7 linked regions of the Callithrix jacchus genome follow. The protein of the gene in region 1 interacts with the protein of each later gene in a pairwise test. Links are inferred from orthologs where the notes say so. Each region holds a gene or a part of one and is shown in the gene's direction. Other genes may lie near its edges.

Region 1 (4,267 bases):
TCATACTGCTTCGAGTTGCTGTGCTCTATGGTTTCAAATGTTAAATGTGCCTACCATTTTACTTAGTGAGTGCCAGTACTCAGTGAAAATGGCTGGAGGCATTACATATTTTGTTCCCTTGGGCGTGAAGGCTTCCTTCTTTTATAAGGCTGAGCAATATTGAGTGCAGAATATGATTCTAATTAATCTTTTGCAGTCCTAGAGAAAAAGTTGGCTCAGTCTTTTTTACTTTATGGAATTTTTCAGCAGTAATTTTGACCATATCTGATTTTTGCCTTAAATTGACTTTAGAAGCTAGTCCTTCATGAGACAAGATTTTACCGTAAATGCAACCAGAATGTTTAAACTCGTGTCTTCTTTTACTGGTATATGTTGGGCATGTCCTTTTAAAGATCTTTTAGTTTTAAAGTTCTTTCATAGTTAGTTGATACATAATATATATAATCATTTGTACTTGGTAAAATTAAACACAGTGCATATTGTATTTTAAAGCTTTAACTTTTGTTTTTTTTAAAACAAACTTTCAGCTAGTATGTTCAACACTCCAGGAATGCAGAGCTTGTTGCAACAAATAACTGAAAACCCACAACTTATGCAAAACATGTTGTCTGCCCCCTACATGAGAAGCATGATGCAGTCACTAAGCCAGAATCCTGACCTTGCTGCACAGGTGAGTTTGTATTTGCATTGAAAAGGACTGTGCAATGTGAACCTAATCTAGTAATTGTGATTTTGGCACATTTGTGTTGTGTATGATATCTTAATGTACTAGAAAAGTAAGTAAACTGTGTCTCCAATTTTTTTAGACCATGTGTTTCTTTGTAGTAATTAAATACTTCATATATAATTAAAACAACTTTATCTCTGTCATTCATTGACTAGAAAGAGGTATAGGTTTACTTTGTTTCTACATATGTTGAGTTAGGAGACAAGTACAAAGTGCTGTAATGCCCTCTCTTTTGAAGATACACTATTTAATGAAATGTTAATCTTGAAAGCAAGTAATAGCAGTGTTAATACATTTGAAATAGTTTTATTTAGTAGATCACTAAGATTATAATAGTCATGCTCAAAATGGCAGTTGTAAAATAGCAGGAAGTCTTTATTAAAGATGGGAATTTGTCAAAACAATGTTCTCATTCTTTCAACTATTGATTCCCCTGCTGAAGATAGTATGCTTATCCCTTATTAATGTATTCCTTTTTCTAATTTGTTTCTAAAGAGACTAAAACTAAGAAAATTAGGGGATCTCAAAGTTTGCTGAACTTTCAGGAACACTTGGGAAGCTTTACAGACAGTTCTGATGCTTTGGCCCCATCCTTAGAGATTTTGATATAATTGCATCTGAAAACCCCTTCCCCCTCAAGTTCCCTAGGTACTGTCTAGGTTCCATACCATAGGGCTTAAGAAACCACGGAGAATGAAATAAACCTTGATCATCTGTAGTTTATATTTGCTGTTTATTAGAAACAACTGCTGTAGTGTGTCAGGAATTTGAAACACTTTATAGTTAATCCCATTCCTTAAATTTTAAAAGTTTTAAGTCAAATGAATGGTTTTTATTTTCTAAATTCTAGAAGTATATTGATTCAAGTATCTTCGATGTATAATTCTCAGCCCTCACCAAATTTGTGGAATTGGAAATAATACATTTTAAGAAGAATTTTTGTGTCTTTGATTTTGTTTATTGGAGGTACATTTTATGGAAAATTGATTTATTCATATGAAACTTATCAGACTGAGTTGTTAATGGCTTAGTTTACTGTAATAGCCATTTTAAGTGTGTATTTGGCTAATACTGAATGTGCATCGTACTTTTAAAATTTGACTTTAACAAGCACATGCCTAGCAATTTTTAATAATATTATAGTAGTAAAGTGACTTGAGCACTCACATACTGTTTTTTTTACTCTAAAGCAAAATGCTGCTAATACTAGATTGGCATGTCTTATTACACATAATTTAGAAAACTATTACAACGTTCTTATTATCAACAGATTAAAATGTGTGGTTTTTCTATTTTGAGTTTTAAATATTTACAAAGAGTCTGGAGTGTAAACTTGTGGTATAAGCACTCAGGTAAGTTATAAGAAATACCCTAATGAATGAGATGATCATCTGCGAATGAATACATTTAAGATGACATGCTTTTTTAAGATTAAATAAAGTAACTCCCAAAAGATATGTGTGATAACCTTGTTAATATGTTTGTAATAAAGAAGTATTTAACTGGAACCACTACAGAAGCGGGTTTCTTGACCTTAAGCAGGTATTACTTTCTGTGAACTTATTGGTCATTTTGAAATAAATATGTATGTTCCTGCAAGGTCATCTGACTTCTCCTTTGGTTATTATATTAAAATTAACTAAAAGATCCACTTTGCAAGAATTGGGGCAAATTTTCTCTACCAGCATTTACATTGGTCTTAAATACGGTTAACTACTTGAGGGTGAGGATCATTTCCTCCCCAGACTTTGGATAGGTAAATAGGCTATCAGTAAATCCTTGCTAGTTGACTTTTTACTCTGGGGAAAATGATATAAAGTGTGTCTTTTGACGCTATGAGAATTTATTAGTTTCTGGTTATGCTGATTGTGTATTTTAATCTTATTTTCAGGTATATGACATCATACTAATACTGATTCTGATTTTTAAATTCTAAACATTTATTTGAAGGTTAGGAGATGCCACTTTTCTCATCTCTGGTGGTAGTGAGGTGAAATCCAGATGCTAATCTTGGTGTTCTCAAATGGATTTACATCTTTTAGGTCTTAAATTATTTTAATACTTTCCCCAGAGGACTGTTGGTGCTAGGCCTGGCTGATTTTCACCTAGCAGCTCCATTTCTCTGGCAAGTTGGTTGCTGTTTTGTGGTGTTATTTTTTTGGACCTAATATTAGCAGTTTTGTAGTAGGCAGGTAGATGTAGTGGTCCTTTTCAGATCTGGATTTTCTCGTGCTTGCCACTTGTGTGTTGAGGTTTCTAAGCAAGCCATGTTACATAGTTTCATGTATTGATGTTTATGTTTATTCTGTCAGTGTAGTAGAAAATATATCTTCATGAATGCCAGTTACTCTCATTTTTCTTTCAATGGCAAGTATTGACCTTTGTTCAAGGAAAAGCCTAAGAAAATGATTGCTTTTATTTTTTAGGATATTGCATGTCATTACCATAACCACCATTCTCATTGAGAGAGAAGATGCATCGCTTTTGTTTTTGTTGTTCTGGAGATCCCTCTTGTGGACAGTATCTTCCCTTTTCCTTTTTTATTTATGTTCTACCTTCCTCCCTTTTAAGTGCCAGTTTAGGCACTTGGGGGAAGGTAGAATAAAACAAGGTACATTACTTGTTTCAGATATTTCCAGTAAAAATTGTTTGAACACTTGCCCCATAGATGATGCTGAATAATCCCCTATTTGCTGGAAATCCTCAGCTTCAAGAACAAATGAGACAACAGCTCCCAACTTTCCTCCAACAAGTGAGTAAGACAAGATGTTAGCTATCTTGGGTAATGATTTGCTTGAAAAAATTTGATGATGAACATTTTCCTTGTTCTTCTCTGGCTGATAGCAAAACATGGAATAGAGACTGATAATGCTGTCAATTCGTAGAGAATTCAGCCCTATCTTAACAGAGTCCCATTTCACTGCTGACTTTTTGCTTATGTTTCTCAAACATAAATTCTGAGGAAAGAACCATTTCGTTTTTGCTTTTGAGGACCTAGGATTTTGAATGCTTTGTTAATACCATAAACCATTTCCTTTCACTGTACTAACTTTGAAGTGCTTCCTTGTGTCATGTTACGCTTTATGGTTTAACTAATTTTGAGTAACAGGAAAGAGCTACCCTATTCTATTTTACAGGTTGTTTTCTTCCAAATTAATAGAATGCTTTTTTTCCCCAAGGGGTAGATCTCATTTCCTCAAACTCGGGATTAGTGATTAAAATGGTCAGTGTTGTCATATAAGGAAGGTTATGTTATAAACAAGTACTTGAGATTGGCCATGGTATTTTATTATTTAAAACGATAAAAGAGAAGTCAGTCTTGGTGTTTTGAAACTGGTAGTTCTGGGGCTTTATATATTTTGTAGTGACTCTCAGGCTTGTAAACCATTTTCCAAGGTTAGTTGGTATCCTTGATCTATTGTAATGATGTAAGCCTATCTTTGGTTAGTCAGGTGGTGTATATTTGGAAGTAGTAAAGCTAAATTCAGGATACATGTATTGTCAAATTTGGAACTGTTGTTTTAGAGTGTACCTTACTGG
Region 2 (3,006 bases), on another chromosome or scaffold:
TCTCGGCCTCCCAAAGTGCTGGGATTACAGGCACGCACCACCATGCCCAGCTAATGTTTTTTGTGTTTTTAGTAGAGACAGGGTTTCACCATGTTGACCGGGATGGTCTCGATCTCTTGACCCCGTGATCCACCCGCCTCGGCGGAGGTGCTTTTAAGAAGACAGAGGTGGTCATCTTTTGCCCCCAGCACTACCAAAGTCACTTAGGAGACCCCAGGGGGTCAGGCATGGAGTATGGGAGCTGCACAGTCAGTGCCACATATTCTTGGAGTGCAAGACAGTAGAGCCTCAGCAGGCAGCAGTGGGATGAGTGGGGCTCCTCACAGGAACCCTTCTTTCTTTGGTCAGGAAGATGCTGCCCTTTACCAGCACCTGGGGGTCCTTCTCCGGCACTGTGTGATGATTACTACTGCTGGAGACCGCACAGAGGAGTTCCACGGGTGAGGACATGGCTTTTTCTATGGCCACATTGTCTAGCTAGTGGTCCTCAACCCTGTGGACCAGAACCGCCTGAGAGCCCAGGCCCCACCCTGGGGGGGGTCTGACTTTGTCTGAGTGAATGGTACTGGACATCAGTGTTTCCGGAGAATACTGAGTGCTTCCAATAGGTGGCCAGGACAGGAGCCATGAATCTGGGGACAGGAATGTGCCAACTGGACCTTGGGTAGTGGCAACAGATACATGCTGTTTACTGGGCATTTTGGTCCCTTGTCCCCCTTCTTGGGCCACCTGCCCCTAGGCTGATCTGGGTTTCCAGAGATGGTGGCACTTTAGCCCAGACAGGGTGGGGCAGTTAGGGTGTCTGAGTGCCCCCACCTCCCCAGGGGACCCCACTGTACAGCTGAGTGGCAGTGCCTCTACGATCGGTCTCTGCCTTTGTTTTTGGTCCCTAGTGTTGCTCCTTTAGGTCCTCAGACGCCAGCTCGTGTAATGTGTGGTTCAGTGGGGGCACAAAGATTGCACCTGTGCCAAGGGATTAGCTCTATTGAGACCCCCGTCTCCTGTCCCCAGCCATGCAGTGAACCTCTTGGGGAACTTGCCCCTCAAGTGTCTGGATGTTCTCCTCACCCTGGAGCCACACGAAGACTCCGTGGAGTTCATGGGAGTGAATATGGATGTGATTCGTGCCCTCCTCATCTTCCTAGAGAAGCGTTTGCACCAGGTAGGCTGGGGATGGCTGTGCAGGCTCCCCCAGTGTCTCTGGCGCTGGCTGTCCTGCACAGCTGTGGTCAGTGCTTCCACACTGGTAAGTGGAGATCATCTTGGTGATGTGATATGGGCAGTTCTTTTGGCTGTTCTGAGGTTCAGCCTGGCAAGAAGCCAGACCCTTCCTCCATGAGAAGCATGTGGACACCCTCCACACACTTAAAGGTTTCACTTCTGCTTAAATATTTGTGGATTTTTATTGAGTGGTCCTGAGAAGCTCCCCCAGTCCCTGCTTTTAACTCTTAGACACAGGCAGCCCTTGATTATAAGCATGGCTGTCCCTCAGCACCCTGAAGAGACCCACAGGAACCTCTGATCAAAGGTTCCCTCTGATTCCTGTGACTGCACTGTGGGGCATCTGGACAGCTGGGCTCTAACCATTCTCCAGGCTCTTGCAGAAAGCAGGTTCAGTAGACGTCTTGGGAATCTACCTGCCTAAGCAGAGGACACACATGGTGCATGTGAGCCAGTCAGGATAGGGACCTGGCATTGGGCACACAGCTGGGGTCAGCTGTCCCCGTCGCTGCCACTGCTGATACTAGGGTCCAGGCACATTATGCTAGGAGGGACAGGAACTCCCTGCTTTCTGTCCATGAAGTACACCGAGCAGGGATTCAGTTCTCGTTTCTTTTTGCCACCGTCATCTGAGGTCAATGTGTGTGCCAAAGCTTGAATTGCTTTGTGTTTTCTTCCCATCCCTGGCTTATAATTGAAGCAGTTATTTGAGCCAAGTCACAAAACTTCTGAGTTGGGCTCTATCCCCGCCCCTTTCAAAACTGACACAGATACCTAGCACCCACTCTTGGCCCTCCACTGACTAACTGCAGAGGGGTCTCTTCCCAAACCCCTGCCGCTAGGACCAGCTGGTGTGTCTTGGGGGCGGGGGCAGGGGGTTTTGGGGATGTAACTCTGCGCCAGTCTCAAATTAGGTAGGGCCATAAGCCTGATGACAGAGGCTTCTCTACAGACACACAGGCTGAAAGAGAGCGTAGCTCCTGTGCTAAACGTGCTGACTGAGTGTGCCCGGATGCACCGCCCAGCCAGGAAGTTCCTGAAGGCCCAGGTATGAGGCTCAGAAGCTGGCGCTCCTGGGAGATGTGGGTTGGGCCCTGATCACAGACTCTTGGCTGCTCCAAGCCGAAGCTGAGGGACGGCCGCCTCCCCAGGTGCTGCCCCCTCTGCGGGATGTGAGGACACGGCCCGAGGTTGGGGAGATGCTTCGGAACAAGCTTGTCCGCCTCATGACGCACCTGGACACAGACGTGAAGAGGGTGGCTGCCGAGTTCTTGTTTGTCCTGTGCTCTGAGAGTGGTGAGTTATGGAGGCCCAGGTCCCACCCCACCTAAGCCAGGCTTGCACTGACCTCTGCCTTGCTCCTCAGTGCCCCGATTTATCAAGTACACGGGCTATGGGAATGCTGCTGGCCTTCTGGCTGCCAGGGGCCTCATGGCGGGAGGCCGGCCCGAGGGCCAGTACTCAGAAGATGAGGACACAGACACAGATGAGTACAAGGAAGCAAAGGCCAGGTATGTGCCCCAACACACCCTTGGGGTTCCCACTCAGAGCCACACCCATATGGACCCATGTAGGGTAGGTGGGACAGGATGACACATGGGCAGGACCTTCCAGAATCAGGCTCCTGTTCCTAAGTGCTATCTGGGATACCAGAAGGTGGCAGGTGGCAGGAGCTGGTTAACTGCTGCTCCTGGAGGGAGGCCTCTTCCTGCAGTTGCCTTGCCCTGCCCCCTCTCACCCCATGGGAAAATGTGTCTTGCCTCCTGTCCTGGAGAGTCACTAATG
Region 3 (4,901 bases), on another chromosome or scaffold:
TCAGCTTCCCATTTCCCATTGGACTGACTCTGTTTCTGGGAGGGGGATCAGTACATGTTCACTGTGCACCTGCAGCCCAAGCATCCTCAGAGAGAAATGATTTGGGAAGGGTTTGCCATACTGAGGATAGATGGGTGGATGGAAAATAAAGCAATGACAGCAAGATATTAACCATGGTAGAATCTATGGTTATATGAGTACTCACTATACAATTCTTTTTTTATTACTTTGTTTTTAGAGCTCCCACACTGTTGTGGAAGGGGAATCCGGAGGACATAGCCCTACAATTCTTTTTTTTTTTCTTTTTTTGAGACACGATCTTTCCATCATGGCTCACTGCAACTTCAACCTCCTGTGCTAAAGTGAGCCTCCTGCCTCAGCCTCCTGAGTAGCGGGGATCACAGGTGTGCACCACCATGCCTGGCTAATTGTAGAGATGAGATCTCCCTCTGTTGCTCAGGTTGGTCTTGAACTCCTAAACTTAAGCAACCCTCCTGCTTCAACCTCTCAAAGTGCTGAGATTACAGGCATGAGCCACCGCACCCAGCCTCACTATACAATTCATTTTTTGTTTTGGAGATTGAGTCTAGCTCTGTTGACCAGGCTGGAGTGCAGTAGCATGATCTAAGCTCACTGCAACCTCCGCCCCCCAGGTTCAAGTGATTCTCCTGCCTCAGCCTCCTGAGTAGCTGGGATTACAGGCACATTAGCCACCATGCCTGGCTAATTTTTTAGGTATTTTTAGTAGAGACAGAGTTTCACCATGTTGGCCAGGATGGTCTAGAACTCCTGACCTTAGGTGATCCACCCACCTCAGTCTCCCAAAATGGATTACAGGTGTAAGTCACCGTGCCTGGCCACTATACAATTTTTTAAACTTATATGTGTTTGGAATTTTCATAATATTAGAAAAGGCAAAGAAAAAAGTGTCTGGCGAATAGTCGGCACTCCTAAGGATAAGGTTTGGGGAGTATATTCCTTTCTTGGAGAATCCACATTTTGAATGCCTGAGAAGGGCTCTGTTTGTCCTGACAGATGGCAGATTTCAGGTGAGAGCACCTATCAAGCACAGAAGTGATAAGCTACTTTGCCCATCCAGAGCTGCTGGCCCTTCGATTGGCAACCTCAAGTTTACTATGCTCCTCCTGATATATGGCACTTCGCCCAGAGTGGACTCCACCCTGCTACCTGTCACCCAGGCTGGAGTGCAGTGGTGCAATCTTGGCTCCCTGCAGCCTCAACATCTCAGGCTCAGGCAATCCTTCTGCCTCTCCCTCCTGAGTAGTTGAGGCTACAGGTGCTCGCCACTGTGCCCAGCTAATTTTTGTTTTTGTTTTTTGTTTTGATAGAGATGAGATCTCGATATCTTGCCCAGGCTGAGCTAGAACTCCTGGCTCAAGCAATCTGCCTTTGCCTCCCAAAGCATTGTAATGACAGATGTGGGCCACCATGCCCAGCCAGGATTTCAAAAGAATCTTACCCTACGATGTAGTATCTATTGACTATGGAGGAGAGGCAGGATAAGGTGTTCCGGACCCTGCCTGACACCTGATCCGAAGAGGTTGCTCATGTTTGCTCAGGAGGTGAGGTTCACACGATAAAGGGCAGGGGGAGGGCTTGGACCTGGTATAAAACATCTGGAAGTTTCCAGGGTGTTTTGCATCTGAAACTGCCAGGTAAGGGGTGACAGAGATGCCTGAATCTGAGTTGGGGGGGAATTCAAATCTGAGCTGGAGGAGAGGATGCCTGGACGGAGTGGCAGGGAAGACTTGAGTTAATTGGGCTCCTGGATCTGCACTAATCTTAGGTGCAAAGCTGTCTAGGTCTCTGCTGAAGGACTGGGGATGCCTGGGATGTTCAGGGGGATGGAAATGGCTAGATGTGTGTTAGCGGAGAAAAGAATGGTGACACACAGACCAGGCACCTGGGGTCTAATATTCTGAGCTGGTCCCGACTCCTGCTGCAATTTCTCTGTCTGTCCTAGTTCCACCAGCGCTGCTTGGATACTGGTGCTGGCACAGTCCCTTCTGTCACCAACTTTGCTCCCCAGGTGACATAGAGGCACCCCTAAAATGCTACTTTCCTTGCAACAGGTGGATGCTAGGGATTTAAACCATGCTCCAGGTGCTTCATAAGCCAGGCCAATCCACCACAGATGGTGAGGCTTTGCTCAGACTCCGGGCTCCGTAAACTCAACCATCTCTGTGCTTGGGAGGCATCCTCCACTCTCTCCTTAGAAAACTCCTTTCCTGGCTGTGGCCATACCAACCCAAATGTGCCTGAGCTTGGCTGATTTCAGAAAATATTTCTGCTTTGTGCCAGGAGGGAGTAAGGTTTACTCCAGATAGTTAGGATTCATCTGCAGGCGAGAGAAAAGAGGAGGGCTTGGCTGTAGCCAGACCAGGAAGAGCTGGAGGGGTCAGGGACACAGAATGTAGAATCAGGAAGCAAAAGGACTGCAGGCGATGGACAGACATTTCTAAGCTCAAGACTGAGTCTGCTAGGTCTGAGTTGAAGGACGAAGCCTTGGCCTGAGCTGCAGGTCAGGAGTGCCTGGGTCAATGAAGTCCACAAAGAAAAAGGTGAATCTTCGTTTGCTCTTTTCTTTCCACTGCAGCCCCAGAATGTTGATGTTGACCGTTGCTCTCCTAGCTCTTCTCTGTGCCTCAGCCTCTGCCAGTGCCAGTAAGTGAGATACCAGGAGCCTGGTAATGGGGACATGGGAAGGCAGCCTTGGGCACTGCTGTTGGCCAAAGCTTTTGGAGGCTGGCTTGGGGTGGGGAGCTGGGATGTGGGAGGAACAGGGGTGGTGCAGAGAAACTGAACTCCTGGAAGATTTCTCCCTCTAACTCCTGCTTGCCCCTCCAGTTCAGGCCAGGTCTTCCTCCTATAGCGGAGAGTATGGAGGGGGTGGTGGAGAGAGATTCTCTCATTCTGGCAACCAGCTGGACGGCCCCATCACCGCCTTTCGGGTCCGAGTCAGCAAATACTACATCATAGGGTAAGATTCTTTGAGATCCCGGCTGGGTGCAGTGGCTCACACCTGTCATTACAATGCTTTGGGAGGCAGAGGCAGATCACTTGAGGCCAGGAGTTCCAGCTCAGCCTGGGCAAGATAGCAAGACCGCATCTCTACCAAAGAAAAACAAAAACGAAACTTAGCCAGGCATGGTGGCAAGCACCTGCAGCCTCAACTACTCAGGAGGGAGAGGCGGGAGGATTGCCTGAGCAATCAGGATGCTGAGGCTGCAGTGAGCCAAGGTTGAATCACTGCATTCCAGCCTGGGTGACAGGGTCTCTTAGTTGGCAAAATGAGTTGAAGTTACCTGTAGGATCTTACAGGGCTCACTCAGGCTTCACAGTCTGTAGGACGAGCAGATCTGTCATCCCTGCCATCACCATTCTCCTTCCCTCCTCCCTTCTCCCCCAGTCTCCAGGTGCGTTATGGGAAGGTGTGGAGCAACTATGTGGGTGGCTCCTCAGGAGACCTGGAGGAGATCTTTCTGCACCCTGGGGAATCCGTGATCCAGGTTTCTGGGAAGTATAAGCGCTACCTGAGGAAGCTGGTCTTTGTGACAGACAAGGGCCGCTATCTGCCTTTTGGGAAAGACACTGGCACAAGTTTCAATGCCGTCCCCCTGCATCCCAACACGGTGCTCCGATTCATCAGTGGCCGGTCTGGTGCCGTCATCGATGCCATTGGCCTGCACTGGGATGTCTACCCCAGTACCTGCAGCAGCTGCTGACCCCCCTCCCCTTGGCAGGGGCACTGTGGTAAGGAGTAAGAACTCACTTATCACTCACCCCCATCCAAATGGCTCAATAAAAAATACGGCTAAGGTTGGTGTGTGTGTGGGCATCTGTAGCTAGGATCTGCCTCCTGACTCAGCCGGGGGACGTGCGAATCTCACTTCTGGCTGGCTTTGGACATCAGTCTGGGAAGAGTGGGAAGATGAGGGAGAGGTGTGTAAGAATCCTGGGCTTTGTGCTATGATTTATCAAGAGGAGATGGGATTCTGGCTTGCATCAATGCTCTTCAAGGACAGCTCTTCAGAATGTTAATCCAAACAGGAGTCCTGGATCTCCTGGGTTTTCTCCATGTTGGTCAGGCTGGTCTCTAACTCTTGACCTAGAGGAAGGCCTAGTTGTGGCTTTTAAACCCCAGATGTCCCACCCTCCAGCTCTCTTCACCCCTGGTCCTCCCCTTGAGAAAGTGCTAAACTCACATGCTGTGTGTGGGTGGCTGGGACCATTCCCCTTTGTTCTTTCCCAAAACCCACTTAACTCCTGAAACAGCTGAAGTCTGTGCCCACCAGGCTGAACTCGTTAAGGAATAAATGGGAGTTGAGAAAACATAGGCAGCAAGAAGTTTGGTCTGGGCTGCCAGAAAATAGGCAAGTCAGTTATGGGGGGCGATGTAAGGCAAAAGGGTTTTGTGTCTTTTTAAAATCCCAGACAGGAGAGTCATGAGCATGTTCACATGATAAAGAGGAACAAAGAGGAAGAGGCTGAAGATTCTGGAAAGAGATCACTAATAAGGTCTTAAAAAAGATGGATGAGGATGATTTATGTAGTTGGGGCAAGAAATTTTAAGAAGGGAAGAAAAATAAAATGAGTGAAGGTATACGTTAGTTTTGTTAAAGTTATCAGCATCTGGCCAGGCGCAGTGGCTCACACCTGTAATCCCAGCATTTTGGGAGACCGAGGCAGGAGTTGGAGAACATCCTCCCAAAACCCCGCCTCTACTAAAAATACAAAAATTAGCCAGGTGTGGTGGCAGGCACCTGTAATCCCAGCTATTTTCAAGGCTGAGGTACAAGAATTGCTTGAACGCTGGAGGCAGAGATGAGTTGAGATAGCACCACTGCACTCCAGCCTGGATGACAGAGTGAGACTGCATC
Region 4 (3,877 bases), on another chromosome or scaffold:
GCTTCCGGTCGCGCCCGAACACTTTAGCCTGAGACACCAGCCTCTTCCGGTGGTGGGCGGGCCTGGGGGCGCGCGGTGGCAGCGGCTTCCGGCCGGAGCGCCGAGGAGTTGGACCCACCATGGCGCGGAAGAAGGTGCGTCCGCGGCTGATCGCGGAGCTGGCACGCCGCGTGCGCGCCCTGCGGGAGCAGCAGAACCGGCCGCGCGACTCGCAGCTCTACGCCCTGGACTACGAGTCCCTGACGCGGCCGTTCTCCGGACGGCGGCTGCCGGTCCGGGCCTGGGTCGACGTGCGCCGCGAGAGCCGCCTCCTGCAGCTGCTCAACCGCCTCCCGCTCTTCGGCCTGGGCCGCCTGGTCACGCGCAAGTCCTGGCTGTGGCAGCACGACGAGCCGTGCTACTGGCGCCTTACGCGGGTGCGGCCCGACCACACCGCGCAGGTGCGTGCACACGTCGGCAGCCCCCCTCCTGCAGCCGCCGGGTCTCCCCTCCCGGGCGGGCTCGCGGGGCGGCCCCGCCTCCCCCGTTTCTGCAGGTTTGTGGGGTTGAGGCTCCCCCTGCTGACTCGGAGGCCGCGAGCCTTGCGAGCTGACGACCCACTTTCCCCTGGCTTTGCAGAACCTGGACCACGGGAAGGCCTGGGGCATCCTGACCTTCAAAGGTAAGGCTCGGGAGAGCAGGTGCCCGGCGGTCATTGCCGGCCGCCGAGGACACAGCACGTGAGTGCAGGACGCCTCTTTCCTTCGCCAGGTAAGACGGAGAGCGAGGCGCGGGAGATCGAACACGTCATGTACCACGACTGGCGGCTGGTGCCCAAGCACGAGGAGGAGGCCTTCACCGCGTTCACGCCGGCGCCCGAGGACAGCCTGCCCGCCGTGCCGTACCCCCCGCTCCTCCGGGCCATGATTCTCGCACAACGACAGAAAAATGGAGACACGAGCGCCGAGGAGCCCATGCTGAATGTGCAGGGGATACGCGTGGAACCCTGGGACTACCCTGCAAAACAGGAGACCAAAGGAAGGGCCAAGGGCACCCGGGTCTAGAACGCCAGAGCCGGCGGGTGGCCTGAGGGGCTGAGGCCGCGGGGACCTTGCTGGTGAAAGAAGCCATCCTTGCGTTGCACCTGAGTCCGCCCCGTGACGTGTTCTGACGGGCTGCCTCGTAGTGGACAGGGCTGGGCAGATCGCCAGCTGTCTTTTCCTCCGGCCCTGCCGCCCCCACAGCCAGCTCGGAGGGCACGCGGGGGAAAGCCGGAGGTGCTGGCCCCTTCCCCCATTGGAGCTCTTTCTGGTGGGATCCAGGCAGAAACTAGGGAGTAAGAAAGAAACGAAAGGAAACAAACGATAAATAAAGGGAAATAGAAGATAAACACGGGCCAGGGTTGCGTTTTATTTGCGCGCTCTCTGCAGGACCGGGGAGAGGCTGACGCCGTGGTCACGGCCCTGGTCTGGGGGCGCGGGCGGTGCGGGAGCAGGGCGTCGCGTGGGTGGAACCACCTGGGCGGCTTGGGGCGGGTACAGTTAAGAGTCCGAGCCACTGGAGGAGACTTGGCCTCCGCAGCTGCTCTCCGGCCCCCTACGGCTGCTGGGTTCCGGGGTGCAAGCAAAGCGGTCCGCGGAGGCCGCCGTGCCGGGTCCAGGCCCCTTTAAGCGCAGGCCCCGCCCCAGGCGCCGCCGCCCCGCCCCGCAGAGCTCGCTCGGGCGCCGCCATCATGATCTGCTTGGTGCTGACCATCTTCGCCAACCTCTTCCCCGCGGGTGAGCGGCGCGGCGCGGCGCGTGCCGGGGTCGGGCGGGCAGTGCGGGGCTGGCCTGACGCCCGGTCCCCGCCCGCCCCGCAGCCTGCACCGGCGCACACGAGCGCACCTTCCTGGCCGTGAAGCCGGACGGCGTGCAGCGGCGGCTGGTGGGCGAGATCGTGCGGCGCTTCGAGAGGAAGGGCTTTAAGCTGGTGGCGCTGAAGCTGGTGCAGGTCGGGGCGCGGGGCGCGGTGGAGGGACGGGGTGAGCGGGCGCGGGGCGGGGACCTGGGGACGCCTGGGTCCCAGGCGCGGGCGCAGGCGGCCTGACCCTTTCGCAGGCCTCCGAGGAGCTTCTGCGCGAACACTACGCCGAGCTGCGCGAGCGCCCGTTCTACGGCCGCCTGGTTAAGTACATGGCCTCCGGGCCGGTGGTGGCCATGGTGAGTACCTGGGAAGCGGGCGGGCGGCCCCGGGACCTCCGCCTCCGCGTGACACCGCCCCCGACCCTCCCGCACAGGTGTGGCAGGGGCTGGACGTGGTGCGCGCCTCGCGGGCGCTCATCGGGGCCACGAACCCGGCCGACGCCCAGCCCGGCACCATCCGCGGGGATTTCTGCATCGAGGTTGGCAAGTAAGGCCGGACCCGGGGACGGTCCCAGCCCTGTCTGGCCTGCGTGGGACCCGTGCCCGAGCTCTCCTTCCTGCGCTCACGCGCGCCTCTTCCTCTCAGGAACCTCATTCACGGCAGCGACTCGGTGGAGAGTGCCCGCCGCGAGATCGCGCTCTGGTTCCGCGCAGAGGAGCTCCTGTGCTGGGAGGACAGTGCCGGGCACTGGCTGTATGAGTAGCCCGGTGGGGCACCAGCCTCCTCCAGGGCCCAGGTGGCCAGGCTTTCGGACCCGCCCTGCAGCACTTTGAACGTCCCTTCTGATGGGATGTTGAACATTTGTCAGGACGGTGCATGGAGGGTGGCATGGGACCCCCCAATCCCTGGCGTACAGGGCTCACCTGGAAACGTGCCAGGACCCTGTCCTGGCGCCCAGCCCAAAGTGGTCCAACATTTCTTTTTATAATAAAGTCCTAGTTCTCGTGTGGGTTTGGTCCCGGAACAGGCAGCTACGGCGTTAAGACGTTTATTACATACAGAGCAGATATGTGGGTTTGCTTGCAGGACCAAAGCCTGAGGAGAATCGTCACCCCCTCCCCCAGCCGCCCCATCCGTCAGCCGGGAGTCACTTCCAGATCCTGGGGGAACAGACGAGGGACCGGACGTACATCACAGTGGAGGTGGCAGGGTCGTGGGGAGAAGCCAGCAGCACAGCGGCTGCAGCCCACGGTGGCCGGCAGGGCTCATGGGGCAGCTCCCCAAGATCTGTGCTTCTCTGGTTGGGGATGGGGAGGGACTGGGCTGCCCTCGTTGGGGCCTCCCGGACAGGAGTGCAGTGGGCCTGGAAGGTGGGAGTGGGCCAGCGAGGCCCGGCTGGGCAGGGAGTGCAGTCCAGGGTGGTGACTGCTCCCTGTGCGCTTGGAGTCTGCTGGAGGCGGCTCCATCCTCAGCTCCATGGGCCTCCACTTGGTGGCCTCTCTGTTGCTCCTGGGGAACCGGCCACAGCGGGCAACCCTAGGCACTTAGTAGCGTGTCTGGGAGCTGGGCTCTGTAGAGCCCCATGCAGGAGGCAGGCCCCAGGAGCACACCATCCCCCACCAACCTGAGGCTGAGCCTGCGTCCCAGGACTGACCCCGGGGAGGCCAGGGGCCTCCCCTTCTTCCTGAGGCCTGGGCCTGCCCTGGCAGCCTGAGAAATGTCACCCCAGGGGCTTCTAGGAGGCACAGGACTCCAGGGCCCACTCCTCCAAGCAGTCTTCTGCCCAGGCAGAGCCTGAGGGGACACAGGTCAGAGCAGGGCTGGTGAGACCCTGCCTGCATGGACGGGATGGGGTAGCAGTCTCTTCTCAAGCAGCTGCCCTGGGGAGCTGGGCCTCGTGCTTTGATGCCAACTCCCTGGGCAGGGGACAGCCAGGATAGGGACAGACAGAGGATAGGGGTTTGAGGACAGGGAGGCCCCAAAGAAGGCCAGCTGGGGTACAGGCACCTGGGCAGCCTGAGGCCCACCTCCCTAGGCAAAGGCTAGTGCCTGG
Region 5 (3,793 bases), on another chromosome or scaffold:
AAATGTAGATATTGAAGGAATAATAGATATCTTGTGCTTTAATCTTTTGTGGCAGAACTGTTCTGAGGTATGAGATGAGCAGGGCTTGTTTTCAGGACCCTGCTGATCAAAACGGGATACAGCAAAGAAATGGGCCAAAACTAGATATGACTAGGAATTATAGTGTATTTGCATAAGACACTCCCGGCAGTGCCATGACAGTTTGTAAATGACGCCATGGCAATGACTCAGAAGTTACCTTATATGGTTCTGGGAATTCTCTGCATCTTTTCAAAAAGTTCATGAATAATCCACCCCTTATTTAGCATACAATTAAGAGTGGGCACAAATAAAGCTAGTCAGCATTCCACAAGTGCTACTCTGGGCCAGTCTGCCTATGGAATAGCTCCTCTCTGCCTATGGAGCAGCCATTCTGCTGCACACAGTGGCTCTAATAAACTTTTATTTTTCTCACTGTCTGCTCACTCTTGAATTCTGTCTTGAGCGAAGCCAAGAACCCTCCATGGATGGGCCCCGGATTTGAGGTTTGCCTGCATAAGCCCTGTAAGCAAATGAATCAAACAACTATGTGAATCACAAACAAAAACAATACATACAGTAAATTAGGATGTTTCCTAACGTTTAACCTTCCTTAAATTAATTGAATATGCTGCTTTGGATTATATTTTCTAATGTTTGGGAATTTCCCATTAATGTTGCAAGGAAACCACATCTGTAACCCACATGCAATACTTCTCTACTGAGAGATGCATGAAGAAGCAGGAAAACGTTCATGCACAGAGCCTCCTCACTCATTGCAAAATATCTCATATACCCCATCAATATATACACCTACCATGTACCCACAAAAACTAAACATGAAAATATTTTTTAGGGGGATGGAGTCTCACTCTGTCACCCAGGCTGGAGTGCAGTGGCAGGATCTCGACTCTCTGCAACCTCCACCTCCAGGGTACAAGCGATTCTCCTGCCTCAGCCTCCTGAGTAGCTGGGATTACAAACACGGGCCACGACGCCTGGCTAATTTTTTGTATTTTTAGTAGAGACGTGGTTTCACCATGTTGGTCAGGCTGGTCTCGAACTCCTGACCTCGTGATCCGCCCACCTAAGACCTCCCAAAGTGCTGAGATTACAGGCGTGAGCCACCGCGCCCAGCCACATTAAAATAGTTTTTAAAAGAACCTCACCCAAGCGGCATCCCGAGCCCAGGGTCTGTGAAGGAATACGCTACAGCTACTGAGTGAGGAGCAAGGTGGGGTGCCTCATCCACATCCAAGAACGTGAACTCTCTGATCCCCATTGGCAGCGGGCTCCGCCCCCGCAAGCGTACCAGCAGCCCTGGGCCCCTCCCCTGCTCCCCGCCTCTCTTCCCTGCACAGCGTGGGAAATATCGGCCCCGACTATTTGATCCGACCCCGCCTCCTCAACTGCCATTGCCCCACCTCGCGTGGTCCCTTTGCTCCCGTGTGCCTGGTGACTCTCCTGAGCACGGGCGACAACTAGGCTTTGCGGGCGGAGCTCGCGCTGGCGCTTGGGCCCTCCCCCATGGCTCAGCCCGCAGCAAACCCCCGCCCGGGCCCGCCTCTCCGAACATGCACTTCCGGCGAAGACTCTGCGCTGAGCCCCACGCAGCGAGTGCGGCGCCATGGACGGTCGGGTGCAGCTGATGAAGGCCCTCCTGGCCTGGCCCCTCCTGCCCGCGGCGCGTCGCTGGAGGAACCCGATTCCCTTTCCCGAGACGTTTGACGGCGATACCGACCGGCTCCCGGAGTTCATCGTGCAGACGGGCTCCTACATGTTCGTGGACGAGAACACGTTCTCCAACGACGCCCTGAAGGTGACGTTCCTCATCACCCGCCTCACGGGGCCCGCCCTGCAGTGGGTGATCCCCTACATCAAGAAGCAGAGCCCCCTCCTCAATGATTACCGGGGCTTTCTGGCCGAGATGAAGCGGGTCTTTGGATGGGAGGAGGACGAGGACTTCTAGGCCTGGAGCCCCTCGGGCCTGGGGCCGGGAGCTCTGGGGAGGGTCCGCTGTGCCAATGGCCGCCGCCAGGGTCACCAAACGCACCCTCCCTCCTCGCCTCCCTCTCCTTCTCGCCGCCGTTTTGTCCCCTGCGCTCCAGTTCCGTCCTGTGTAGTGCTTGCCTCTGTTCCAGGAATAGTGCTCCAGGCTGCCGCTTCTGCCCCTGGGTCTCACTCTGGAGCGAGCCGCCGCCGCCCTCTCTTGCCAGCCCAGCCCCTCCCATGCATATTTGGACGCTGTCCTGCGCTCCAGTTGCACAAAGCTGGGCTCCTGTTACACACTGGACAGACCACCCACAGCCGCCGCTGCCAACCCCACTCCACTCCTCCAGACTGCCAGACGACTGCAGCATTCTGCCCACAGACCATCGCCGTCCACCACATCCCACCGACGGACTGTTGTTCCTAGTGACCTGGACTCACCTCAGAGGTATCTGAACTGGCCACAGCCCCTGGACAATGATCCAGACAGCCGGCTGACCCGCAAGGGGCCTGTCACCTTCAGTGAGACCCATTTCCTCCCCATCCCCAGAGACGTCTTGTGTTCCTGCCACATGGCTGCCAGGGCTCAGGTGTGCCTGGCAACCAAATCAAATCTCTCATTTTCTCCTGTGGACCAGTTAGTTCACCTAGAATCCAGTTTCCTTCTGAGTTTGCAGCTGTCTCTCTGATGGGTGCCTTTTTTTCAACACAGTAACCCCTGCTCCCTGCCCTGCTCTAATACACTACCTGTACAAGGGTCTTTTCCTTATTTTTAATAAATGTCAGACATTATTAAAAAAGAGATGGAGTCTCAATGAATATGGCACCTTTTCCTCCCTAGTTCTGTAAATGGGGTCCATATCTTGTTCCAATGCTATGTGCCCTGTCATGCTATGGCTGAGGTTGACTCTTGCATTATAAAAACAAAAGATTGAGTCCTGTGGTGTCTTGTAGGGATGGAGATCTTACTGGCAGCCATCTAATGCCAAATGGTGACCCTTCTAAACCAGGCAGTTTCATGCCCCTTTTGAAGTAGACCTTGATCTGATTTTGGCCAAGACAATGTGGAAAAATTTTTTTGTAAAAGGTTTCCTTATTTTCAAAAAATGGCTAGGAAGCACAAATCTCAGATTGTTACAAACCATAAATCCCACACATTTGTTCATGAACACCTGTCAAGGTTTTATTTAACCAGAGATTCATTAATGAAACATGAGAATTGCAGAGGTACTTCTATTAAAGCATTTATATTTATAAAACCTTGAATATGGAGGTAATGGGGAAAGGGATGTTTAGGGGGGAGATCCCATAAGTGCTGAGGCTGGAGCAAAAGGCCTCAGCCTATTTCCACACAAATAATGAAGAAGAAAGTAACTAAAAACATAACTGTAGTAGTTATTAGTTATTCATATGTGATCTTAGTTATTCATAGGTGATCTTCATTCTTTTACTAATACCTCTCAGAAGTGTGAACCTGGGGTGACATTTTGAAATGAATGACACTAAGGCAAGATGCTTTGAGCTCTCTGTCATGCCCGCATAAGGGCTGCTGGAGGACGCTGTGAAAGCGCCCACTGTTTAGCCAGCCAAAATGGCCGAGACATCTCCTTACTGGGGAAGTTAGGAGAAAACTCCGCTTCTCCAAGCTCTTGTAAGAAACCCACAGACATCTGGGGGCTTAACTGTCTCTATGTGATGCTGTACTTCAGTGGTCATGTTCCATGTCTACTCTCATGTTCTGCTTCTGCACCTGGTTCTTTTTGTCTTATAAAAGATAATCAGTAAT
Region 6 (4,807 bases), about 66 Mb from region 1:
ATATTTTTAACACTTTTCTGTCATTAGGGAAACATCGATATGTCTGTATTGAGATATATATATATATACACACACACATACATATACATATAACATGTATATGTGTAAGACTACGAACAGTCCGAAATTTATACATTGGGCTGATAACTGTGGTTTTCAGGAAAAAAGAATGCAAAGTCTCCCTAACTCGTATAAGAAGGGAGTATAAGTGAGAAAGCATTTGGCACCGCCTCTCCCTTATCCCCTACTTGCTAATTACAATTTTTCAAATACAGTTACCAACTGCAAACTACCATAATCTTGGTTTATCTTCATAGCAAACTTCATTTAGAAATTTAGAAAATGGGGAGAGAGAGTAAACAAGGTTAAGAGAGTGGGTTCCCAGATAGAATCGGGTACAAATCAGGGCTCCAACAGGCACAGGTTTGCTGTGTAACCGCCTAGGTTACACAACAGGTGTAGGTTAACCACCAGCTGCCTTATCTTATGAAGTCCTTAGGAGGATTTAGTGAGCCACGCACCTGAAGTCCTTAGCTATAGCCAGACAGCAAGTATCCAAAGGTGTTAGTTATTGTTTTTGTTCATGGTTTTATCATTGTGCAAGGGTCGCATAGCTAAGTGGAATTTCAAATCCAAGGCCATCCTACTTCAAACTCCTTTGTGCTCCTAAGCTATGCAGTATAGTCACCTTGGAGAGCATGCGATTGTCCCCAAACTACCTCAGGGACTGCAGGTTATGGCCAGCCAGTCCTCTATCAGACCTCGTCCTTGCCAGATGCCTAGTGCCCCAGATTCCCTCAAATCTCAGGCCAGACAACTTCCCACCCGGTAAGACTCCCCCACCTTCACCCCTGACTCTCCAAAACTAGACTTGGTGTGGGTTCCCGGGAAGCTCTGTCTGCAGGGACAGTATTCCCCACGTCTGCGTCTGCTGTCGACTTCCCAGCTGAGTAGGCAAAACATTCATTCCTTTACAGAGCAATGTGTTCATGGATAAACTTGTCTCTAGCGCAGCTCTGTGTCAGAGCACAGAACATGGAGCCCAAGCACTGCCCTTCCCAGGGAGTCCCGGTTCTCGACTTCCCCAGGATGGAAGTTTGATTCTACCGTTGGCCCATTTCTTTGATAGAAAAACTGAGACTCAGCGAGGTGCCAAGGCTTTGATTAGGACTACCCTGGAAGCCACGGCTTTGTAAGGGGTAGACATTGGGACTGGAGTCAGAAACGCGTTCTGGCTTATCTCCTGACTTACTGAATGAACTTGAGCAGGTCCCTTTCGCCCGTGGGCCTCGGTTTCTTCATCTGCACAACGAGACGGAAAACTGGATTACGTGTAGCTAAGGCCCCCGGGTTCTCAGAGGAATGCTCACCCCTGCAGGGCCGACCGGCCCCGCGGCACTACAAGACCCAGCTTGCCTCGGGGGGCGGGGCTCAATGACTGACAGGGAGCTCTGCGAGTTGCCGCCCGGCAAGGGGCGCTCAGCGGCGCGTGCGCAGAAGGCGGCAGGCGGGTGGGCTGGCGGCGGTGGACTCGTTGGAGCCGCGGGCGGTCAGGTAGGGGGCGGGAAGGAGGGTTGGGGACCAGGGACCGCGGCCGGAGTCGTGGGCGGTGGCACAGTAGCGGGGCGGAGGGCCGTGCCGGCGAGCAGCGGCCGCGCCCGAATGGCAGAGTCTGTGGACCGGATCTGAGGGGCAGGACTGGGGTGGGGGTGGGGCTGCTAGGGGCAGGCTCGGGAGAGATTCATGGGGCTGAGGAGATCCGAGGAGATGCAGCTGGGGGAGGGGAGCGAGGTGCTCTGAAGAGATTTGCGTTTGAAGCATTTCGGGAGGTATGAGGTAATGTGGGGGCCGAGAGGAGAAATGGGGTGCAGCATGTGGGAGATGGGAGGGAATCAGGGCCCTGGAGGGACCTGGGTGCAGAATTTCAGAAATATGAAGGAACTGGGGACCCCCGATGAGATTTAAGGGAATCTGGGGGCGCTAGGCATCTGGCAAGGACAGGGTCTGAGATGATAGGAGCAAGGTCTAGGTCGATCCTCAGTGCTAGTGAGAGAGGGTTTTCGGAGTGGGATGAGCGTGAGATTGAGGGGATGGGGATGAGTTCTTGAGGGACTCTGTCTTGTTAGCAGAAAGAAGGGACCTGGCTGAACTGTGAAGCCAGCATGTGACATTCAGTGCGTAAGAGGAAGGAACAGGGTTTGAGAGCGGCACAGTGCCTGATGGAATGCAGGAGATGGGGGGCTCAGAATGAGGGAGAGCAGAAATCAAGTGTGGAATTGGGCCGTTGAACTGAGGTGCAGGGCTGAGTGCAGCAGAGATTTGGAAACAGGGATTAAAGGATCTATGTCCGAGGGATTTGGGGCATAGGAGTGAGGAATTGATGAGGGTTGCAGTATACAGCGCCAGAGATTGGAATTTGGTATTGTAAGAGGGTTGGGGACAGGGTTTGGAGAGGATTGAATCATAGGGTAGAGATGTCCTAACTGGGCTATAGAATCAAAAAACCCTGAGTCGGTTTGTGGACTGGTGTCTTGGACTGCTGAAGAGATTTTCCTTAAATCGCTGCATGGGAGACAGATGGAGTTCAGGGGACCCAAGGACCTAAAAGTAATGTATGATATAGATGAGTATATGAAGATGAGCAGAGTTCAGGTGTTGAGGAACGAAGTGATACATCTTCAGTTCAGAGATCCTGAAGGAGTGTGGTGATCCTTGTGAAGGGCAGAATCTTCTTCATTTATTAAACAAATATCCATTATCATGAGGCAGGTATGGTATTGCCACTAACTCCCCTCTGACACCCCCAGGCCACTGAAAATGGTGGGCTTTGGGGAAGAAGAAATGGAACTATTCAAGGTCATCTACCTAAGCCCCTTTTCCTTGTACCCACAAGCTGCGATAGCAGATAGAATGTGAGACCTCCAGGGGAATAAGTGGAATAATTAATCCTATCTAAGATCCATTACAGCTTGAAGGGGCGGTGCCTCTGTGAATGAGGTGTTTGGGCTCTGAGAGAGACAAAAATAAAAGGGAACCCTTATGTATTGAGCATTTAGTCCTGTGCCAGACTATAAAGAAGTGGTTCTTAACCAGGGGTGGTTTTGTCACCTTGGAGACATTAGGCAATGTCTGGAGATGTTTTTTGGTTGTCACAGTTAGGGTGGGGAATACTACTGGCTTCAAGTGGGTAGATGAAACATGTTAATGTTTTATGTTAATGTTAAACATTTGATAATGCATGGGATAAGCCCCTGCTCCCCAGTAAGGAATTATCCTGCCTAAAATGTCAGTACTGCCAAAGTTGAGGCACTCTGCCCTAGAGTCAGATATCCTGGGTTCAAGCCCTAGCTCTGTCTCTTCCTGACTTTGTGGCCTTGAATGAGTTACTTAACCACCCAGTGCCTTGACTCTTCACCTGTAAAATGGGGTTATGATAACGACCTATGTCACAGAATTGTGAGGATTTAGTGAAATAAATTAGCATGCCTAGGATCTGGCACATAGTATGTTCTCAAAATCTAGTAACTTTTAGTCTTATATCTACTTCTTTATTCAGTTTTCGTATCTTTCTAAGTAGGCTCTGCTGTTTTCAGTTTTACACGAGGGAACTAAGGCTTAGGAAGTGACTTGCCTAAGTTTCCATAGCTAGGAATGACACATAAGCTCATACCCAAATCTCTGTAGCTCTGTATATTCCCTTTTTCCTTGCTACTTCCTTTCTAAGGCCTGCTTAGTCTTATTTTCTCAGCCCATTCCCCTCTAATGAAAAAGAGGATTGCCCAGTGACTATCAAAGACGGGGTGGCGGGGTGGGGGGGTGGGGGGGCGGAGAAGGTAAATCTCTCTGATTAGGTAGGGAGGAGCCCTGGACTTTGTTCTTGGTTTGCTCTTAGACCAAGACCAGGGGCTAGATAAGGAGACGAGTTTGAGGTTACCAGGCAGAATGAGGTGCAACAGACTATGGGGTGAGGTATGGAGGCCGTTGGCTTGAGAAAACACCTCATAGCAGGGACTGAGGCTTAAGGCATTCATATTCTGAAGGAGAGTAATCACTGTTCTGTGTGATCTCTTTTGGGCTGCTTTTCCCTGGAACAAAATAATAGCATTGGCTCTATCATCTCCAGGACTAGCTACAGCGTTGCTGAAGCCAGTTCAGAAACAAAGCTAGACTGCATCTGACTGCTAAGGTTTAGCTGGAACATCCGCGCACATCCCTAAAAGAAAATATGTCATGGGAATTCAGTCAGCCCTGTCTAAACTCCTTACTCTGTTGCTAATTTCTTATGCTACTTGGACAAGTACTTGTCCTGTCACCCTCAATCTATTAAAAATGCACATGATGATCATTTATTGAGTGCTTATTATGTGTGTTATCTTAGTGAATTCAATCATCCTGCTAACATTCTGGGTTTTATTCCTTGTTTACAGATGAGAACGTACCCAGGGCTACAGAGCAAGTGGCTAGGGTTGGGATGCAAACCCAGTTCTGTCTTATTCCTATGTTACATTATAGTAGTTTTCTTAGAAGGCTTTTCCAGCCCTTCAGAACCCCTATGTTTATGTCTGGAGAGTAGTTGGAAGCCAGAAGTTTGTAAGGCCCTTAAAGTAGATCATTGTCTATGCACACTGATGTGTAACCTTTGTGACATTCCCTTCATCATGTCTTTCTGGTAAAACAATCAAATTTAGAAATCATTTCTAGGAGCCCTTACCAACATATCAGCCAAACTTTGTCTAAAGCCAGGAAACTATACAACATCCTTTAAGTTAGTGATTTTATGGCTGGGAGTTGAAACTGGGATTTGAAT
Region 7 (3,600 bases), on another chromosome or scaffold:
TTGGTATCAGATTGAGAACAAGTTCTTTCTGAAAAATATATGTGGACACAACTCCCCACAAGGTAATTCAGTATGACTGGCATGTAACAGTATCACTTCGTCATATATGCTCATGTAACCACTGCTGTGTTTTAACAACAAAATTAGAAGAACATTTCAGGGAATAATCCACATTTTTTTGAAACAACATTAAGGACATGATTTGTGGGTGTGTATGTGTACATGGATGTTTTAAATTAAGCCAACAAATTATTTTGCCAATGACTTCAATATATAAAATAGCTAAAACATCTTGGGACGTATTTGTTACTTCATTACAAAGAAACAAGGTGTACTAACATCAAACTACATGTTCTGTAGATGAAAAAATAAAATTTGAGAAATCTCATATCAGTGTTTTTGTTGTTCTTTTAACTAAGAGAATGCTATGCAAGTTTGAGGTAAATGAGTAATAATTTTGCTAAAGATTCCTGTGGTTTGTGGAGATCATATAGAAAATATTCATGATTTTTTAAAAAGAGTTATCCTAAGTTTAATGTGAAATAATATCTACGTTGTTTTTTTCCTCCCCTCAATGACCAAATATTTCTTTTGCTATAGTGTCTTCTATTATGTTTTATTTGTGTTAACTCATATTTTCTTTGTTTTCAGGAACCCTTTCAAACATGGCTGAAGCAAAGACCCACTGGCTTGGAGCAGCCCTGTCTCTTACCCCTTTAATTTTCCTCATCTGTGGGGCTGAAGCAGCTTCATTTCAGAGAAACCAGCTGCTTCAGAAAGAACCAGACCTCAGGTTGGAAAATGTCCAAAAGTTTCCCAGTCCTGAAATGATCAGGGCTTTAGAGTACATAGAAAAGCTCCGGCAACAGGCTCACAAGGAAGAAAGCAGCCCAGACTATAATCCCTACCAAGGTATTGCTGTCCCCCTTCAGCAAAAGGAAAATGGTGATGAAAGTCACTTGCCTGAAAGTTCGAGGGATTCACTGAGTGAAGATGACTGGATGAGAATAATACTTGAAGCTTTGAGACAGGCTGAAAATGAGCCCCAGTCTGCACCAAAAGAAAATAAGCCGTATGTCTTGAATTCAGAAAAGAACTTTCCAGTGGACATGACTGATGATTATGAGACACAGCAGTGGCCAGAAAGAAAGCTCAAGCACATGCTATTCCCTCCTATGTATGAAGAGAATTCCAGGGATAACCCCTTTAAACGCACAAATGAAATCGTGGAGGAACAATATACTCCTCAAAGTCTCGCTACATTGGAATCTGTCTTCCAAGAGCTGGGGAAACTGACAGGACCAAACAACCAGAAACTTGAGAAGATTGATGAGGAGCAAAAACTTTATACGGATGATGAAGATGATATCTACAAGGCTAATAACATTGCCTATGAAGATGTGGTTGGGGGAGAAGATTGGAACCCAGCAGAGGAGAAAATAGAGAGTCAAACCCAGGAAGAGGTGAGAGACAGCAAAGAGAATGTAGGAAAAAATGAACAAATCAACGATGAGATGAAACGCTCAGGGCAGCTTGGCCTCCAGGAAGAAGATCTCAGGAAGGAAAGTAAAGACCAACTCTCAGATGACGTGTCCAAAGTAATTGCCTATTTGAAAAGGTTAGTAAATGCTGCAGGAAGTGGGGGGAGGTTACAGAATGGGCAAAATGGGGGAAAGGCCACCAGGCTTTTTGAGAAACCTCTTGATTCTCAGTCTATTTATCAGCTGATTGAAATCTCAAGGAATTTACAGATACCCCCAGAAGACTTAATTGAGATGCTTAAAACTGGAGAGAAGCCCAATGGATCTGTGGAACCGGAGCGGGAGCTTGACCTTCCTGTTGACCTAGATGACATCTCAGAGGCTGACTTAGACCATCCAGACGTGTACCAAAATAAGATGCTCTCCAAGAGTGGCTACCCTAAAATGCCTGGTAATGCTGGGACTGAGGCCCTACCAGATGGGCTCAGTGTTGAGGATATTTTAAATCTTTTAGGGATGGAGAGTGCAGCAAATCAGAAACCTTCATATTTTCCCAATCCATATAATGGAGAGAAAGTTCTGCCAAGGCTCCCCTATGGTCCTGGAAGAGCTAGATCGAACCAGTTTCCCAAAGCTGCCTTGATGCCGTATGTTGAAAACAGACAGATGGCATATGAAAACCTGAATGACAAGGATCAAGAATTAGGTGAGTACTTGGCTAGGATGCTAGTTAAATACCCTGAGATCATTAATTCAAACCAAGTGAAGCGAGTTCCTAGTCAAGGCTCATCTGAAGATGACCTACAGGAAGAGGAACAAATTGAGCAGGCCATCAAAGAGCATTTGAATCAAGGCAGCTCTCAGGAGACTGACAAGCTGTCCCCGGTGAGCAAAAGGTTCCCAGTGGGGCCCCCGAAGAATGATGATACCCCAAATAGGCAGTACTTGGATGAAGATCTATTAATGAAAGTGCTGGAATACCTTAACCAAGAAAAGGCAGAAAAGGGAAGGGAGCATATTACTAAGAGAGCAATGGAAAATATGTAAGCGCTTTCATTAATTACCCTACTTCCACTCCTCCCGTCCCAAGCAAACCCTAACATTTCTCTTTAGTGTGTTGACTTCTATCTTGTTAGCACTGTAATATCTTTAAATGATGTGCAGGCAGATGAATCCAGGTCACTGGGGAGTCTGCTTTGTTTCCTCTGAGCTGTTCTCGTGTATGGATATGTGTAAATGTTGTGACTCCTTGATAAAAAATTTATTATGTTCATTATCCAAGAAAGATATCTATGACTGTGTTTAATAGTGTATCTAATGGCTTTGGCATTGTTGATGCTCACACATGATGAAGAGTGTCCGATAGTTCTATTGAAAGTTTTTAATATTTATTGAATTATTTTGTTACTGTCTGTAGTGTTTTGTGGAGTACTGGAGCAAAGAAAAATAAAGCATTATAAATATATAGTTTTATTTATAAGGCCTTTTCTATTCCGTGTTTTACTGTTGATTAATAAATGTTATTTCTGGACAAATTTGGACTCTTAATTCCGGAAAACCAGAGACAATGACTCTGGAGCAAGCAGTATGAAGCCAAAGGAGAAAATCATCTTCACCAGATCATTCCGGTAAGAAGTAATAAGATTTCATACATGTGCTCAGAGATCTGTTTGCAGAATGCCGCATCCTCTCACAGCCCACTAGTTATGCTCGGCCATGGTTTTCCTCATATAGATAATCTATAGAGTAATATAGGGCATAATCTTGATGTAGTAGGTATATTTTTTACTCTTGATTTATATAAGTAAAAGAAATGTAAGTCTCCAATATCCATAACCAGCATCAAAACAAAAACAGAAAGAAAAAGAAAAGGCTGCATATATGGCAATCAAAAATGACTACAGACTTGAAAGCAAACTGTCTATTCCCAGGTCATGTTGGTTCCCAGAATACAAGGCTGTTGTCTCTCTTATGTGACTTGAGAGGGGCCAAAGGACCCCCAAACTGACCAGTAGGTAAGCGAAGGAGCACAGTCACAGTGGGAACAGACCAGCCCCATCTCCTGCCCTAGTGGCAAGGCAGTGCATGATTATTACAGCACACATCACTTTAGTGCAGT

The links.
Region 2: the proteins of UBQLN1 (region 1) and RIC8A interact in binary tests that used the Homo sapiens proteins (3 or more experiments, as listed by UniProt). The link is inferred for Callithrix jacchus from reciprocal best matches to the Homo sapiens genes UBQLN1 and RIC8A.
Region 3: the proteins of UBQLN1 (region 1) and ZG16 interact in binary tests that used the Homo sapiens proteins (3 or more experiments, as listed by UniProt). The link is inferred for Callithrix jacchus from reciprocal best matches to the Homo sapiens genes UBQLN1 and ZG16.
Region 4: the proteins of UBQLN1 (region 1) and NME3 interact in binary tests that used the Homo sapiens proteins (3 or more experiments, as listed by UniProt). The two-hybrid records come from large-scale screens. The link is inferred for Callithrix jacchus from reciprocal best matches to the Homo sapiens genes UBQLN1 and NME3.
Region 5: the proteins of UBQLN1 (region 1) and retrotransposon Gag-like protein 8A interact in binary tests that used the Homo sapiens proteins (3 or more experiments, as listed by UniProt). The two-hybrid records come from large-scale screens. The link is inferred for Callithrix jacchus from reciprocal best matches to the Homo sapiens genes UBQLN1 and RTL8A.
Region 6: the proteins of UBQLN1 (region 1) and TRIM32 interact in binary tests that used the Homo sapiens proteins (3 or more experiments, as listed by UniProt). The two-hybrid records come from large-scale screens. The link is inferred for Callithrix jacchus from reciprocal best matches to the Homo sapiens genes UBQLN1 and TRIM32.
Region 7: the proteins of UBQLN1 (region 1) and SCG2 interact in binary tests that used the Homo sapiens proteins (3 or more experiments, as listed by UniProt). The two-hybrid records come from large-scale screens. The link is inferred for Callithrix jacchus from reciprocal best matches to the Homo sapiens genes UBQLN1 and SCG2.

The regions. Positions count from the first base shown.
Region 1 is NC_133502.1:99,346,801-99,351,067, forward strand, and holds part of UBQLN1 (ubiquilin-1), read left to right. Parts: intron 1-527; coding exon 528-670; intron 671-3,395; coding exon 3,396-3,479; intron 3,480-4,267. UniProt on the Homo sapiens protein: Plays an important role in the regulation of different protein degradation mechanisms and pathways including ubiquitin-proteasome system (UPS), autophagy and endoplasmic reticulum-associated protein degradation (ERAD) pathway.
Region 2 is NC_133511.1:131,720,948-131,723,953, reverse strand, and holds part of RIC8A (chaperone Ric-8A), read left to right. Parts: intron 1-348; coding exon 349-440; intron 441-1,011; coding exon 1,012-1,162; intron 1,163-2,173; coding exon 2,174-2,269; intron 2,270-2,372; coding exon 2,373-2,517; intron 2,518-2,587; coding exon 2,588-2,732; intron 2,733-3,006.
Region 3 is NC_133513.1:29,729,416-29,734,316, reverse strand, and holds ZG16 (zymogen granule membrane protein 16), read left to right. Parts: upstream 1-1,625; 5' UTR 1,626-1,676; exon of another isoform or gene 1,677-1,807; intron 1,808-2,617; 5' UTR 2,618-2,624; coding exon 2,625-2,685; intron 2,686-2,868; coding exon 2,869-3,001; intron 3,002-3,430; coding exon 3,431-3,746; 3' UTR 3,747-3,839; downstream 3,840-4,901. UniProt on the Homo sapiens protein: May play a role in protein trafficking. May act as a linker molecule between the submembranous matrix on the luminal side of zymogen granule membrane (ZGM) and aggregated secretory proteins during granule formation in the TGN.
Region 4 is NC_133513.1:4,028,178-4,032,054, reverse strand, and holds NME3 (nucleoside diphosphate kinase 3), read left to right. Parts: upstream 1-1,687; 5' UTR 1,688-1,711; coding exon 1,712-1,757; intron 1,758-1,840; coding exon 1,841-1,971; intron 1,972-2,078; coding exon 2,079-2,180; intron 2,181-2,257; coding exon 2,258-2,370; intron 2,371-2,469; coding exon 2,470-2,587; 3' UTR 2,588-2,854; downstream 2,855-3,877. Other genes in the region: MRPS34 (small ribosomal subunit protein mS34), read left to right, coding at 120-440, 619-661, 751-1,043. UniProt on the Homo sapiens protein: Catalyzes the phosphorylation of ribonucleosides and deoxyribonucleoside diphosphates, other than ATP, into the corresponding triphosphates with ATP as the major phosphate donor.
Region 5 is NC_133524.1:130,627,100-130,630,892, reverse strand, and holds retrotransposon Gag-like protein 8A, read left to right. Parts: upstream 1-1,608; 5' UTR 1,609-1,645; coding exon 1,646-1,987; 3' UTR 1,988-2,807; downstream 2,808-3,793.
Region 6 is NC_133502.1:165,023,195-165,028,001, forward strand, and holds the start of TRIM32 (E3 ubiquitin-protein ligase TRIM32), read left to right. Parts: upstream 1-1,484; 5' UTR 1,485-1,836; intron 1,837-4,807. UniProt on the Homo sapiens protein: E3 ubiquitin ligase that plays a role in various biological processes including neural stem cell differentiation, innate immunity, inflammatory resonse and autophagy.
Region 7 is NC_133507.1:145,325,619-145,329,218, reverse strand, and holds the end of SCG2 (secretogranin-2), read left to right. Parts: intron 1-651; 5' UTR 652-665; coding exon 666-2,528; 3' UTR 2,529-2,946; downstream 2,947-3,600. UniProt on the Homo sapiens protein: Neuroendocrine protein of the granin family that regulates the biogenesis of secretory granules.